Caenorhabditis elegans: one gene and its partner. The protein of the gene in region 1 purifies or fractionates together with the protein of each later gene. This does not show direct contact. Each region holds a gene or a part of one and is shown on either strand. Other genes may lie near its edges.

What was found.
Region 2: the proteins of cbd-1 (region 1) and R09A8.2 fractionate together in Caenorhabditis elegans (co-fractionation; one large-scale study listed by BioGRID). This does not show direct contact.

Annotation. Positions count from the first base shown.
Region 1 is NC_003282.8:11,368,319-11,376,395, forward strand, and holds the start of cbd-1 (Chitin-binding domain protein cbd-1), read left to right. Parts: upstream 1-4,672; 5' UTR 4,673-4,675; coding exon 4,676-4,721; intron 4,722-4,768; coding exon 4,769-4,863; intron 4,864-4,908; coding exon 4,909-5,464; intron 5,465-5,510; coding exon 5,511-6,119; intron 6,120-6,165; coding exon 6,166-7,086; intron 7,087-7,134; coding exon 7,135-7,413; intron 7,414-7,460; coding exon 7,461-7,796; intron 7,797-7,844; coding exon 7,845-8,077. Other genes in the region: sec-31 (WD_REPEATS_REGION domain-containing protein), read right to left, coding at 1-65, 111-205, 1,965-2,352, 2,458-2,630, 2,676-2,892, 2,941-3,135, 3,182-3,321, 3,369-3,434. UniProt on the Caenorhabditis elegans protein: In unfertilized oocytes, maintains egg-1 and egg-2 at the plasma membrane together with chitin synthase chs-1 and kinase mbk-2. Essential for the formation of a continuous and cohesive chitin layer following fertilization.
Region 2 is NC_003284.9:12,615,562-12,623,638, forward strand, and holds the start of R09A8.2 (Dentin sialophosphoprotein-like), read left to right. Parts: upstream 1-3,903; 5' UTR 3,904-3,910; coding exon 3,911-4,499; intron 4,500-4,548; coding exon 4,549-4,931; intron 4,932-4,982; coding exon 4,983-5,141; intron 5,142-5,238; coding exon 5,239-5,412; intron 5,413-5,457; coding exon 5,458-5,637; intron 5,638-5,698; coding exon 5,699-5,968; intron 5,969-6,018; coding exon 6,019-6,198; intron 6,199-6,397; coding exon 6,398-6,706; intron 6,707-6,809; coding exon 6,810-6,908; intron 6,909-6,954; coding exon 6,955-7,198; intron 7,199-7,600; coding exon 7,601-7,743; 3' UTR 7,744-8,077. Other genes in the region: R09A8.1 (Protein kinase domain-containing protein), read left to right, coding at 1-87, 134-359, 504-644, 782-1,015, 1,148-1,339, 1,484-2,178, 2,230-2,319.

The DNA of each region.
Region 1 (8,077 bases):
GAATAAGCCAAACTTTTCGTGTAAGATCTGCTTCTTCTGAAGTATCGCTTGATGGGGCATATGCTCTGAAGTTTTTAATTTTGATAATTTTAATCTGAAAATATAATTACCTCTCATGAAGATACCATCCTAAGTTTCGTTTATCATCCTTAATATGTAGATACTGAGCAATGTCGTTGACACCAACATCGTTTTCTGGAACTATCTGAAAATAGAAAAACTTCTGCCTTCTTCCTATATTAAATCCGGAAAGTGCAAGGGTCGTCACTTTTTGCGCAAAAAGTGTAACAAAAAATTTAAAAAGTTGGGTGTGCACTTTCGTCTGTAACTTTGCTGTACCTGCACATTTTTTAATTTTCTTTTTTGTAGGAAATAGAGAATCGCTTTTTCTATCTTATTATCTAAATGGTTATTTGATTTGATTTCATCTTTTAAGAGAAATTCTTGATGAAACACGAAAAAATCACTTTTTTCGCGTGTAGTGTCGCTTTTTTTGCACACGTTTAGAGGTCATAGTATAAAATGTTTTTGATAAGGTAACTGTATATCTGGGATTGATAAAAATTTTTAGTTTTTGCAATTTCATCAATTTTGAACTGAGTTATGATGATTTGAAAATCGGACTCGAAAAATCCCGGAATTTCGAAAATTGCGTTGAAAACATGTTTAACGTTCGTATTTTTGTTTTATTTTACATTATCAAATGTAAATTTTAACGTAGATTCCGTTTTTCTAAATAGTTTTCTCATTATCCAACCGGAAAGTTACGAAAAAAGCATAAATTGACGATTTTTCAATGAAATTGTGCGCAACCCCTTGGTGTGCAAATTAGTGATTTTTGAGATTCTTTCGGCTGTAAGTCGGTCAGTTTGGCACTTTTTGGGGTAAATTTTTCGAAAAACGTATTTTTCAGGAAATTTACTCTTCAAAAATATAATTTTTTTTACAAAAAAGTCAAAAATAACTTCAGAAATCGCAAATTTCTGCATTTTCTCAAAAAAATGACGTTTTTGCTGGAAAAATAAAAAATTTTCCACTACCGAATGGGATTTTATGTTAAATTCGTAATTAGTACATAAATACCGAATGCAAGCTGAAAGCACAGTCCTCTACGATCATTTTCAACGAATTTAGTTTATTTAATTTTTGACCTCGAAATTTCAATTTTCCTCTTTTCCTGGACCAGTTTTCTGTTGGATAATGAATTTTATGTCCTAATTCTTATTATTTTTGCTATGAGAAGCGAGACAAACTAAAATTTTTTGGTCATGAGTTCCTCGAGCCCCGTTCCTGAAGTTGTAGGCTTCAGGCCATGCTTAGGAAGCTCAAAAGTTCATTCTTCACCAATTTCTAAAATTTCAAATGCTATCATATTCTCCTTTTAACGCTGAGTTCAAGTATATACTTTTAATTTTTCAATTCCTACTATGAACAAAGTTACGACGCGTCGAAGTTTGAAAAGTCTTTGCCCGGCCCCCTCCTTCCCCTCATCCGCCAGTGGTAGTTGTATTATTCAACTCACCTGGGTACCCAACTCTTCCCAAAAATCAACATATTTGAATTATCAGTCATATAGTGGAGATATTCTTCTACTCGACACATCGTCACCCCACCATAAACCCCTCAAACATGTCGTCTTTGGCTGTCCACGTGTACATGTACATACAATTGCAATTGTTTTGAATAATTCTTGCCTGTGGCAACCTTTTTGACTATCCCTACAGTATATTTGATTACTTACATATTTTTGTTCTATTATAGCAGGCCGAAGGCCTGCTATACTGGTTCAGGAAGCCACGCAGGCCGTAGGCCTGCGGTGCGAGACCCAAAACATTGCCAATCGCACGTTCGAGGCGAAGCCGAGAACCCGCGCCAGCTAGCGGACTCGCCCCAACCCAACCTCTACTAGCGGGCCCCATAGGGCCCGCTAGTCAAAAACGAGATTTGTTATAAAATTTCAATACCGTTTCAATTTCCACATTATGGTGCCATTGTTGGGTCATTGCATCGTAGGACTTCCAGAATGTTGCCAACCGTCCACCTAATGCTATTGATGAGCCAATTAAGGGAGCACGGTGCCATGCAGGAACAAATTGATCGGAGATCCTAGCGGCAAGTACATCGGCTCCTGGTTGCGGAGATCCAAGACTAGTCAATGAGGATATTTGAACAGGATGTTGGAAATATTGAATAGCAAATTGTGATGGCTCCTCTTCATTCCATTTAACATTTCGGATCCAGTCTCCTTGAAGACTTCCAACACCTCCAAGCACCTCAGATGTTTCGTGATTCCATATAACCACTTGTCCATCACAGCCAGATGAAATTACAAGACGATCATCAGCTTTGTTCCTGTATTAATATTTTTCGTAATTTTTATATAGTTTTTTGTACAAAAATAAATTGTCTAGCTCAATTTTTATTATATAATCAACAAACTTTTAAATAAAAACTTACCAGTCAACACTCGTAATTCCCATATTATGATGTCTGTATTCTTTAACTGGTGTTGAAGTGAATCTCGAATCCCATTTCTGAATAACAGAGGCGTGTTGAGATTGGCTGGAAACTATAAGTTGTGAGGCGTCCGAAGGATTCCAAGAGAGCGAAGACCAATCACAGCCAGGAATCTGCAAATAGAACTTTAATAGCCACCAGGCAATTGAAAATCCAACCTCTGCGAATTCTAACACCGGCGATCCATTTCTTCTCAAATCCCAAAAACTGACTCTTCTGGACGATATGGAAGCAAACACAGACTCGTTCTTCAAGTTCCAGCGAAGAAGTTTCACTTGATCTGGGAAATTTGGCGAACCGGGAGAGAATGGTGTTTTCAGATTTGCGCAATCCCAGAGAAGAATTTGTCCTGAGCCTCCACCAGAAGCCATCCATCTTAAAAATTATTTTTTTGAATTGTTCTTGTAAACTTTCATTTCATACCTGCCGTCCCTGGAAACATCAATAGTGAGAACATGCCCATGATGATCTCTTCGAGAAAGAAGAACTTCTAGTGATTGATTCTTGATAAATTTATCAGCATCAAAAAATACCACAGTTCCGTCCTCTGTACCGCCAGCAATTATTCCGTTCGGATGTGCATCGGAACACAGAGAAGTCCAGGCTAATTCATTGAATCTAAAATTATGAAATACACTATACCGCTTCACATTATAATTCTCACCGATAATTAGTGGCATGCGACACATTCGGGGCCAAATTCGATTTTTCATATATCTCACTTGCTGGCAAAAAATCGATCTTTGGTTCGATTGATGTTGCAGTCGGGTCAAAAAACTGAGCGAAATCAGCAACAATTAAGCCCTGAAAATTTGATTTATTTCAATTATAGACGAAGATTGATTAATTACCTTTTTCTGAATTCCACGTGGACTCCAGACAAATACGCCGGAACGTGAGTAGAGCTTCGAGCTCATCGATCGTGTTCCGTTTAATGAGCAATTGTTGTAACTTTAGCTGTAACGTTGACGTGGATGAATGAGAGCAGCTGAACAGGGAGTAAGTGCGCTCCTTTGCACTCGAACAAATAGGAGGAAGTGAAAGTTTTTAAAAGAGTAGTCTTGATGTAATTCAGACAGCTAGAAACACCGATATCGAACGGAAAAGAAAAATGGCAGAATGAATGTTCCTTAGAATGTTCCGCATATAAAAATTGGGACTCCCAATTTGGGAGGAGTAATTCAAAATATTTCAATATCAAAAAGTGAACTCATCGCACCAATTTTCGAAAAAATAGAAGCTTCTTATTTAAAAATGTTTAAGAAAAATATCAAAAAGAAAATAAAACACTAATTGTTATATGTTTAAGAAATCAGACAATGTTTTTTCAAGTTATGTCGCGCGGACAGAGAAAACAGAGAATACACAAATTCTACTAATAGCTATTGAAAGAAGCGAGGAAAAAAGTTCATTAAAAACCTTAATTTCGCTATTCCCGAAGGAAAACGAAACGATGATTTTAAAAATCAAAAAAAAAATTGATTTTCCGTGGATCTGCAAAACGACGTGAAGTGTCTTTGCGTACTTTTGCATACCGTAGTCAAGTAAGCCGCTAATGTCCAAACTTTCTATTTAAAGTTATAATTATTTAAACCGACTATGAATTTTTAGAAGTTAATTTTTTTGTTTCAGAAAATTAACAAAAAATTGGATGCAATTAAAATTAAATCAACCAAAAAAACATATTTTGGAAAATGGAAACGGTTGGTATTAAAGGATCATGTATGTTGTTAGTTGGGTCTCGCCACGATTGCTAACTAATACCGTACTCTGTTATTTTTGGGCCGCACAATTCTTTAGTTTTTCTTAATTTTGAAAATATCTTGAATTTTCTCATAATATTTTGTTTGTTTTCATTAATTTTATGATCTAAAATTAATTTTTAAAGAATAAAATTGAGCAAATGTATGCCAATACCCATTTCAGACATGTAAAAGTGCAGTAGATCAAAAATTATTTGACCCCAGTTTTAGGCTCGAGCGGGAAATTTTTTGGATTGAGTTTTCAACCTCGAATGTTCCATTTCATTCCTTCTTCATTAGCTCTAATTTTTATTAGTTTCTCCTGAAATGGCGACCATTTTGAACCTTTTCTGTTTTTATTTCGTAAAACTTTTAAGTTAAAATATTCATCCTCTAACTGTTATCAATTTCAGGCGATGGGGCCACAGCTAGCCACCGTCTCGCTGCTTCTACTAACATTTTGTGAGTTTCTGCCTCTTTCTTTTCAATCAAATATTTTTATTTTCCAGTTTCGAATTCTATTCAATACCCGCACTCACCAGCAGCCACAGAATGCCCTGCATACTTCAACGGAAACATAGCAGGAAATGCATGCAGTCGGGAGGTAAACCAGTAGCCCTCCGTTTCAAATATAATTCTTTATTTTCAGTACTCGATATGTGTGAACGGAGTCAGGCAAGCAGCCACCTGCAGCGATGATTCTGTCTTCTACGAAGACGAATGTGTGCCAGTCGACGAATCTCCAGAATGTCGAGTAGATGAAAACACTGAAGAAGATGACACCCCATATGCGGAATTCGACTGCACATCGAAACAGGATGGCATCTACTCCATTGGCTGCTCTAACCAGTTTATCAGCTGCGTCGCCGGCGGAGCCTACATGGCGAAATGTCCTGATAGCTTGGTCTTTAACGAAAGAACCCAAGATTGTCGTGAATCTTGCGACGAAGTGAAACAGGACACAACTACTGCACCACAAGTCTACGAAGATGGTGAAGAAGGATACGGAGAAGCTTCCGGTGAGATTGCTGGAGATTACGAACGTCAACCGTCGAACGAGCAGCCGGATTCAATTGACTTCGATTGCAACGGTCTGGAAGACGGAAACTACGCCGACGGTTGCAATGACGTATTCTACTCATGCAGCAACAACATGGTGTTCCAGAGATACTGTCCACCGGGAACAGTTTTCAATATCAATCAACGTAAGTGCACGTGATCGAGTATTATGTTAATTTCTTCGTTTTTCAGAGTCCTGCGATTTCCAATGCACGACCGATGATCCAACGACCACTGTATCGTACTCAACTTCTACAATCACAACACCGCAAGAAGATGACAGTGAATACAGCTCAACAACTTCCGCTGATGTCATCTCAACAACAACAACACCTTCAATTGATGCTATTGAGACAACTACGACTGGATTTGATGCCGTGACAACGACAACAACGACGCAAACTCCGTTCGTTTGTCAGGAGGGACAAGTCAACTCCTTCGGGATGTGTTCGTCACGATTCAATCGTTGTCAGAACAACTCGGTGCGTTCAAAGCAATGTCCAGTCAACACTCTCTTCGAGTCCTCTCTCGTTATGTGCGTGTTCGATTTGCCACAATGTCAACCAATCACTGTTCCCGCCGCTCCTGCGTACAACTCTTACGGGCCTCCATCGGATACCATCGTCAGTCCATTTGATGAGAACGTTCGTCTGAAACCAAAATTCGACAGAAGGCGTAAGTATCATCATGGGAAGCCGAGTTACGGACCGGTAAATGGAAACTCGTATCTTGAGAATCCATTCTTCATCCCTCGACACCGTGGAGGCAGCCACAGAGATCATCGCCGCTATGGTTATGGACGTAAGTTAGGATTAGTCTTTTCTTTGTGATAATTTTGATACTTCAGCGGCCATTGATTCTCCATTCTCAACCGCTTTCCGTGGTCGTGCTGCACTTAGCGATCAATTCAAAGACTACCGCCGTGCAAGAATGGGAAAGATCCAAGGAGATGCCAGGAAGGTTGATGGAAACAAACGTTTCTTGATTGATGATGAGTTCGAAGGGCCAAACGCGAAGTTTGTTGAATCTAACATTGAGCAAGTATTCCCGAAGAATCGTCATTCAAAAAAACAGTTGGGACCACATGAGGATCCAGACGGCTATGACGACGAGAAAACGTTCGACGCAAAAGATTTGTTCGGAGCCACGAGAAGGAAGCGTTCAGCCTACTACGGAACTGAACAATCTGTATATGGACAGCAGTCTGCACAAATATCTGCTCGACAAGCTCAAGTAAACAAGGACTGTCAACAATACACTACTCCCACTTTCCTTACATTCGGCGACTGTTTCGATCAGTTCATTTTCTGCTCTGGAAACGGAATCAATCGTATGGCAGCTTGTCCAATTGGAGAAACATTCGACAAAACTCTTCGTTCTTGCTCAGAAACGTGCGGTGTTTCAACAACAATAGTCGCTGTCACAATCGGAACACAGACTTCAGACGATTTATCTGCACCTTCTGAGTACATTGAGAATGACGGCGTCACTACTCAATCAACATGGAATGATCAACCATCAACCACTCAGGCTCCAAATTCATACGAATCTTACACCACCCAATACTCTTCAAATGACGTGCCATCGACTTCAGCTGCTCCCATTGGGGATCGTTGTTCATTGGACGCATCAGGCCTTTTCTCACTTGGATGCTCGCAAAAATACATTCAATGTTCTAATGGAGCAGCAATTGTGCGTCGTTGTGGAGAATCGTTGTATTTCAATGAGGCCACACAAGAGTGTACTTACAGAGATGAAGTTCCAGAGTGTAAGCTTTAGTCTAAGCTGAGGTTTATATCAACTTGATAATTTTCAGGCGGATCCCAAGGATCTACAAGTTCACCTGTTATCACTACACCAGGCCAGGATCAGTCATCGAACTACTACGGAATCCCATCGGATGATGTCCCATCCACCACACAAACGCCGGTTGGAGATCGATGCGCTTATGTTGCTTCTGGGCTTTTTGATCTAGGTTGCTCGCAAAAGTACATCCAGTGCTCGGATAGTGCTGCATCTGTGAGAGAATGTGAAGGGTCTCTGTATTTCGATGAACGAAGCCAAAGTTGCCGTTTCAGAGACGAAGTGTTCAAATGTGAGTTTTAACTTTGTTTGAAAATATTATGAAAGTTACAATTTCAGGCCAAACAGCAGACGTAAGTTCTTCGTCGACTGTTCCGTATTTGGACTTCACAACTACTCCAGCATCGCCATCAGAGGATGAGCCAACAACGTATGAACCTTCCGTGGCACCGTACATTCCGTCGGTTACTGTCAACCCAGTTGATACCTGCACAAGTCTCTCAGATGGAACTCATGGAACGGGATGCTCATCGTTTTACTTCGTCTGTTCACATGGACGCCTTATCAGTTCGGGTAACTGCCAGCTGGGTGAAGGTTACGATCCATCAGTACAAGGTTGCCGGACTTTCAGTGAAATTCCAGCTCGAGCTTGTGATGAGCAGGAAGTTACGACAGGTATCAAATTTCAATATTTCTTAAGCTTCAATCCTCTAATTATTTCAGATGCTGGTCTTGTTCAGTTAATGCCGTACAAGACATTAGAAGAGGTTCTTACGACAACTGAGGCTGCTACTACAGTTGCAAATGACGGGCCAACGGACACCTACATCACTGGCTCCACTAAATATTCTACAACAGACAGCGGTGAATACACTATTCCATACGGAGATGAAACCACGTCTACTAGATCCTATGACCGAGCCGATAATGACAGCGAAGACGAAGAAGAGGATGAC
Region 2 (8,077 bases), on another chromosome or scaffold:
GAAATCACGAGTTCTGACATGGAAGTATATAGCTTTGCCATTAAAGAAGGGAAGTGCTTCCGTCTGAAGCGGTATATGGAATGGAAGGTTAGCGGCTCTGTAAAAAAAATCAATGAAGAACTTGTGTTTTCAGAAAGATGAAAAAGATAGTGAACATGCCGTGGTCAGTCGTAGACCTTCTTTTAGAATCTATTGTGAGTTCGCGACGAATGTGATATATTTTTCATCGACTCAAAATGCATCTGAAGAGGATTTCGGAAACACAGTTTCAAGTGATGTTTCTCAATATTCAGCAAGGACTTCTAATAATGCTTCATCAAAGCGAAAACTATCAGAAAGCTCTTCTGATTCGGACACAGGTTTGCTGTCTTTTAAATAATTGTTTATGTCTAATTTGTTCATCAATGCATCAATCACTTTTCAGAAATGCACCCACAAAAGATAACTGTTCTAACATCAGCCACTCCACCAATGGCAACACGCAATTCATGTTTGTTTTTCAGGTATTCTACTCAAGAAGGCTAATGTATCAAGATTTGTCGAAGAAGGCGTGCCAGTCCCATGGTACCAGCCTCAGTCATCCTACGCTGTTGCATTTTATTCAAGTTCTTCTCACATGTTTTTCCATATTCTCAAATCTAAGCGTAAGTTTTATATACTTCTACATATTTTATATATATCTATAAATTTGGTCAAAAGTTTTCTTGTATTTAATAGTCAGAACTGTAATTTCAAAAATAGTTTAACATTCATTTAGCCGCTATATATTCAGCATTTACAGCAGCACCGCCAATAAAACCGATGAAAAAGGAGGCCGGAGCGTTGCTTCCCCCTCGAGCGGTTGTCTATAAGCTCCCTGCAATCAAGGGCTCAATGAAAGATGCAATCTCAGCTCACAAACTGTTGAAAAAATCGTACGCGAAGCCAATTGTGGACATTAGCTCTACGTCAGGCGATAGCGATCCAGAATGGTGGAGTGATCGGGAGTTGACGGCTGATTTGAACTTCAAACGAGGTTAGTCACAGCTTCAGCGATTTCTTCAAATTATGGCTATTCTCATATTTTTTTTAAACATATCTTCTTCAAACACCGATTTGAAACAACAACTAGATCATTATCAAGACAAATAAAACTAATAACTTTCAGAACTTCTGTCAAAAAAGCCACGCTTCTCACGGAAAACCTTCGATGAACGATCTTCATACATTGCTCGTTTCAAAGAATCACATCTGGGAAACTATTTGAATTCGGATAGTGATACAGTCTCCAATGAAAAGCCAAAGACACTTGCTCAGTTAAAGAATTTTAGCAAATCCAACTTGGTGGAATATCATCCAAGTATGAACCGCGATGTTGGGGATGTCATAGTTTATTTGCTCTAGATATCATTATGATTTAGATTTAAACAGTTTTGAAGTAAACTATGAAATTTCAAATCAAGACAAATCTTCTATAATAGGAATATAAAAATGGATTTTTCAGAGCGTTCAAGAAAGAAGATTCGTGCCAAAAGAGTGTACCGAACCAAAAGTGCTGTCACAACTGCGTGTACATCTACATCAAAACAAGCGGCTCGAAGTGATGAACCATTCTTTTCACAGCGCGATACACGACAACATTCTTACACCCAGAGAGTCCAAGTGCCGATTGGTGCCGCACTCCACTCTTCGTCGTCAATCGCTGCAAATGTGAATGATTATCGGTCAAAGGCTCCAACACGAATGATTCACTCATCAAAGGTTTCAACAGTGAATGCGGCTGCCTCAAAGTTTGCTGCACCTCGTTGTCAAGCACCAAACGTTTCACACATGAAAAATGGTCAATTCTCAGTCATTGACAGACTGCTTCCAAGTGACTCTAACACTAAGCCATTGTTAGCACCTGCCTCGAACAACTCGTGGATTACTGCAAATTCTCGTGCAACCGGCATTCTCAAAGGACGATCAGGGCCAGTTGATCAAAGCCAGAATCAGAATACAAGAAGAGAAAATGCTTCCATGTCTGGAAGACAGCCGTTGGACACTTCCAGAAAACACATGTTCTTATTTTGTAATAAGGTTTGTGTGATAACTGACGAAGAGATTCGACGAGACAAGGAACAGCATCGATTGGAAAGGTCACAAATTAGCGCGGAACGAAAACTGGAGCACAGAAAAGCTATGAGACGACAATCCAGGGTTACTATTTTTCAAATTTGATTGTCATACGTTATAAATTTGTAATTTCAGGCTAGACTTCTCAGCCGTCTGCAAACGGAGTATGACAACAACGACGCTACAACGCTGTTCAAATTCAGAAGCAGTTGCCTACATTCGTAGTTGAACGTTTGAATCTGTTATTGTTGCATCCGATTTTCTACCAACTTGACTCTCGTTTTCATTATTCAAAGATGTTTATATTGATTTTTGCATTTCCTATATTCCTATCCTAGTATTTTTGTTTAATCTAGGTAGATTTTGAGTGGCTTGACCCACGTTTTATATGTCTTAATTTATACTCAAGTTAAGTCTCCTGATATTTTTCCAAGACAGGTTTTGTATCATTTATTATTATTAAGGAAATAACTTCATAATTGTATATTCTGAAATGTTTGATATTTTCTATTGTTATCCAGTTTTTTATTGATCTCATTATTGTCATCCTCTCACCCCTCCTCATATTGCTTCTCCGGTTATTCTTTCGAGGTATTTTTCAACGGTTTTCATGCTCCTGCACCCGATCTCATGCAAGCAACTCTTGTGAATGAATAGTTTTTTGACATATTTTTTTAAAAAATATTCAACTTTGTTTGCTAAATCTCTGTAAAAATGCAGTTTTCATACCCTTGCACGCACGCCGAACAGTTTTTAGAAACGTTTACTTTGAATCGTTGTAAACTATTCCAAACTGTTTGGAACTCAGAAAAGCCAGAAAAAAAGACACTTGTTTTTCAAGATCAGCCGATCGGCATATTCGGCTAAATCAGCTATTATCACACCCCTGCTGCAAACGCGCTCCGCCGCCATTCGAAGGTCCCACCTTCGAATGGCAGCGGAGCGCGAACAGGAACAGATCTAGGGCGGCATTGTCTCTCCTTTCTCTGCGCTCTCTCACCTCCTTATATGAACTGTCGGCGCAGGGTGTTCGGGGACCGAGATAAAACATTCCAGAATTTCCCGCCCGGGACTCTCGCCGACTGCCCTCTCGTGCAGTCTCCATGTATTTTTTATGGCCGTGATTCATTTCTTTTCATTTGCCATCACCTTTCGGCCATTTTTTCTCATCTCTAGCCCGGTTGGTGATGCGCATCTTATTAGCATAGTCCTTTCATCTGCACTATCATTATTCGCATGCGGTAAAAAATTAATTGTCCTGTAATATGAACAATTTGGGTTTTTTTCCAAACTACAGATTCTGCTCCTCGTTTTCGAAGATTCAGTCGCTTGCTAATTTATTTCTTCCATGTGATTAACTTTTTAAAATTTTTTAAAATTCGTTTTTTGATCGTTTCTCTTTTGTTACGAACTTCGCAGTTGTGTGCCGCATCATAAACTCGTCCGCTAGTGTATTGGTTTCTTTTCTGAAATAAGCTTCAAACTGATAAATAAACGAACTAAGTTAGGCTAGTTTTAGAACTCGTAACACAAGTTTTGGTGTCCACTTGGAGTTCATTTTATCTTGTTTTTTTCTGTATCTGCATATTTCTTCTACGTTTACAATCATCCTTGAATTTAGCTTGAATTTTTTTGAAGCGCGGATTTTTGAAACGAAACAATTCAAAAGTTGCTCAGATCGTGTTCTATTTTTTAAAAAGACGTTTAGCTTTTGTTTCCAAGCAATACCATCAAATTAACTGTTTGTTGTGAACTTTCAATCTTTTCACTTTATTCCAATTTATGAAATCATTTTAAAACATATTTCAGATTTTCAATGGAGGATCCCAAACTGGGCTCAAGGCGCATGACCTTGCGATCTGCAAGTCGACTGAATATTGAAAGAAATGGGTCAGATAGTTCTTCTGATACTCATTCAAAAATGCGCTCCAATGGGTACAGTTCAATGAAATTATGTGACAATGAATCAACGTTTTATTTCAAATTAAAATCAAAAGATTCAATTGTTTCCAATGTACCAGATGTCTGCTCAAAACCTGTGGCTGGTAATGGAAAAGAGAAGACAACGTCTCCGTGTGAAATTGGACGATATTCGTCATTTTATGCGAGATTTGAAATTGATATGGATGATAAAGCTGAACTCAAAAAATTGATGAACTCGATTCCGGAAAACTACAGTATCCCGATCCTGCGCATTGTTCAGTTCGGTGAATACAACGATGGAAAAGAGCCCAGAAGTCTTTTGTCTTATCGCGAAAAGATGGCGGACGTTGACAAGTTTTCTGATGATTTGGTGATCGAGCTTCTGGATTTTTTTGTAATGATTCGGAGCGATGTGGAAATGGCCAATAATAAAACTGAGAAATTGGAAACCAACGCAGAATATTATGGATTCAAATCTTATGGTAAATTTTGTACGTTTGATTGCACAATCTCTAACGAAATTGCATTTAGATGATAGCTTGTATGATATTCAACCAAACACCAAAAGACCTGCTCCATTGTACAGACCAGAAGAAGTTATTGCGTTTGATCCAAATTGGGGCACTCCAAACTACCCACATGTGATTGAAGAAGATAAAACTAAAAAGCTAGCGAGTGCTTTACAAGATTATCGAACTCTGAGAGATGCTACCCCCGATAAGACTTTCTATTTTGGTGAGATTCCTACATCTCCAATAAATGTGGGAACTCATGATGACCAGTTGTGCAACGGTATGAATTCAATTTCTGGAAACACATTGAACACCAGTTATGAGGAAACAAGACAGCTGAAAAATTCCGATCATGTGAAACAAATTGATCCGCAAATGAAAGGAAATTCAGTGGATGCACATGTTAGTGATTTTATTGAATTAACTGTAAAATTAATATGAATATGTTTTCAGAAAGGGCTCCAATTCTCTATGACTGTTCAAAACTCTTCTTGTTTGTCGAGTGATGGGAACACAAGCACAGATGATCGTGTCAATGCACAATGTTTTGCTAGTTCTGGTTTTGTGAAAAGCGAGCGCCGTCGTTTGGAACAGTTGATGGAGCAGAAACTGGTTAGTTGCTTAAATGTGAAGTAGCGCTAGTGGGAAAAATGTTTAAAACTATTGATGGTGGTAAAAAATTTATTCATATAAAATATTTTGTTTGCAGAAGGAGAAAAACCAATGTGATTACGCAAAGAAAACTCGGAACTCTTCGGCGTTGGACCACGAGTCGTCCTTTGGATCTTGTCCACTATCTGATATTCATCCAGAGCAAAGTCACTTTGACATTTCTCTTCTGGCAGAAAACAAGAAAGTAGAAGAAGTTTCACAGGAAACTGCAGTAAGTTTTCATTGCGTTAGTTTAATGAGTGATTATGTTTTCCAGGAAAAACAAGAAGACAAACAGATCTCTGTGACTTCATTGGCAAGAATGATTGAGAGAAGTTCGATGCCAGCTAATCCGTACAGTAGTGCAGATACTCAAATGGAAGTACATGGTTTCGACAGTTCTGTTTTTGTAGAGAGCGAAAAGCAAAATTCGGAGCAGCGTTGTGAGCAGATAAAGGTACGCAGTCTTAGTGAAAAATTCAACTATTTGAAGTTAAATTTTATAATTCTTTAATCAGATTGGTGAAAAAGACCGTGAAGACTCTAATCGCATAGTTTCTTTTGAAATCTCACTGGACGTAGCCTCGGATGAAAAAATCAGTTCATCGACTACAACACCAAATACATTGGCAGAAAAATGCCAAGCAACTCTCCGGAGAGCCGCGTTTCTATATCCAGTTTATCCGAAGACCAATTCTTCTGCTTGTATGAATAGTCATTCTTCTGTTGATGTTGGTTACAATGAACAGGAGCGTCGTCAGTTTGAACAGGCTCTTGATGAGAAAAAGGCTAGTTGATTTAATGAAGTACTCACTTAATGATCATCTGATTTCAACAGGATGCAAAGAACCATGAGCTAGCGTTGGATCCCCAAATCGACTTGTTTGAGTCTACAGACGTCGAAACTAACGATGATAGATCCATTCAATTTTCTCGTGTAGACACCGGCTTGTTGAAGGATTCTAACAATTCAACAATGAATGGAAGAGAAATAGAAGCCCTTGGAATCAAGGCTCAAGTAGGTTTTAATATTTTAAATAGGCTCTTGTTTTGGCATTTTACATTAAGTGTGCTGATGTTGGTGAAAAAGTGCGTGAAACATGCATTAGGAATAATCAAAAAAAGCACCAATACACCGCGACCAATCAAATCTTTGGTATTAAATATACTCACGAAACGGACCAACGGTTATTTTTCTAAACTAAACTTACTTTCAGAATAATCAAAAAGAGCACCAATGCACCCCAACCGAGTACAAATCTCTGCTGGATAAATATACCTACGAAACGGGCCCATTGATACCTGATCTAGAAATGTTGTTTGGAAAACGGTCAACATCGACTGAAGCAACGGTTAGCACGAGTTCTCGTCCATTGGTACCTGATCTAGGCATGTTGCTCGGAAAACGTTTCAAATCTATTGAATCGACGGGGAGCACAAGTTCTTGCACGGACGTGCAAAATATTGATGTCATTGCCTTCGAAGAAACAAAAGCCCAACTTCGAGAAAGCCATGGACAGATGAAGGTTAGTGATTTGAGCCGAAGAAAAGTATCGTGAACAGTTTGTTATTGGTTTTTTTTTTTGAAGCTTTTTCATTAATTAATAAACACATGAGTTTTTTTTTTAGGAAAAAGAGCGATTGCGTAGTTTGGATGATCATGGTTCTAAAGAATCACTGAGCAAGCGTATGGAGCAGGAGCGTATGAAGCAGTTTTGGCAAAAAGAGGTTAGTTGTTTTAGAAAAATACAAAATCAATATATTGAGTTTTTAGAAACATGAGAGCAGCCGTGACGATGCGAATGAAAACGCGTCATTTGTACATTCATTGGACGTCGAGTCGAATGTGGATTCTTGTTCTTCGACTGGTACTCAAGAAACATCAGAGAAAAAACGTCAAGAAAACGTTTTAGCTGTTGTTCCTTACAATCCAAAAAATATTTCAACACTTGTTGAAGATCAATCTTCCAATACTTTGAAGCGAATGCTTGTGGATACTTCTTCTGATTTGGGCAAAGGTGTGTTACATTGTGAATCCTCATTTATGCAATATCGAATTTTTATGCCAATATTGTTAAAAGTATTTCACTATTATTATTAATATTTATTAGTATTTTCATATTTTACCAAAATATTGAATAAGAAACAGGTTCAACACTTTGGCAGATCTCCTGAAAAAATGTAAAACAAGTTAAAATTGATAAAAGATGGATACAACACATACCAATCTTGCGAAAAAGTAAATAAGTATTTACTTGTTATTAAAATTCTTTTTTCTATACAAATCGGTGTCAGAATCAGAAAGAACAAAATCAGAAAAACTCATTGGAAAATCAGTATTGAATCCTTTGTTATTTTTTTAAATTTAAAATGAAATTAGTATATATGTATATAAATAACGTATTTTAATGGTTTTTCAGACCAACCGCCAAAAAAGAAACGAGTTCCATCATCAATCTCATTTTCGAACGCCGAAAAGACTAGAATGGTTTTGACAACTACTTCAAACATTGGATCAGGATCGTCGTCTGGAGAAGAGATTCTGGAAAAGGAACTGATTTAGATCACCTAATATCAGGAAAAATTAGTAATTCATGCTAAATTTCACTGTCTTATTTTATATCAATTAATTATAATGCTCAAGTCTCCTCTCTCCCATTATATCTTAACGTTTTTTATTTAAATATGTAATTGTATTAGGTTTATAATTGTATTAGGTATATAATTGTATTAGGTTTATAATTTTATTAGGTTTGTATTAGGTTTTGTTTATAATTGTATTAGGTAACTAATCGTTTAATTTATTTCCATAATTATTGAGATTTCCATAGATTGACCACACTAATTTTATACTTATTTATTTACCAGCCGTTCGCACGCGTGTGCTCCGACTGGTG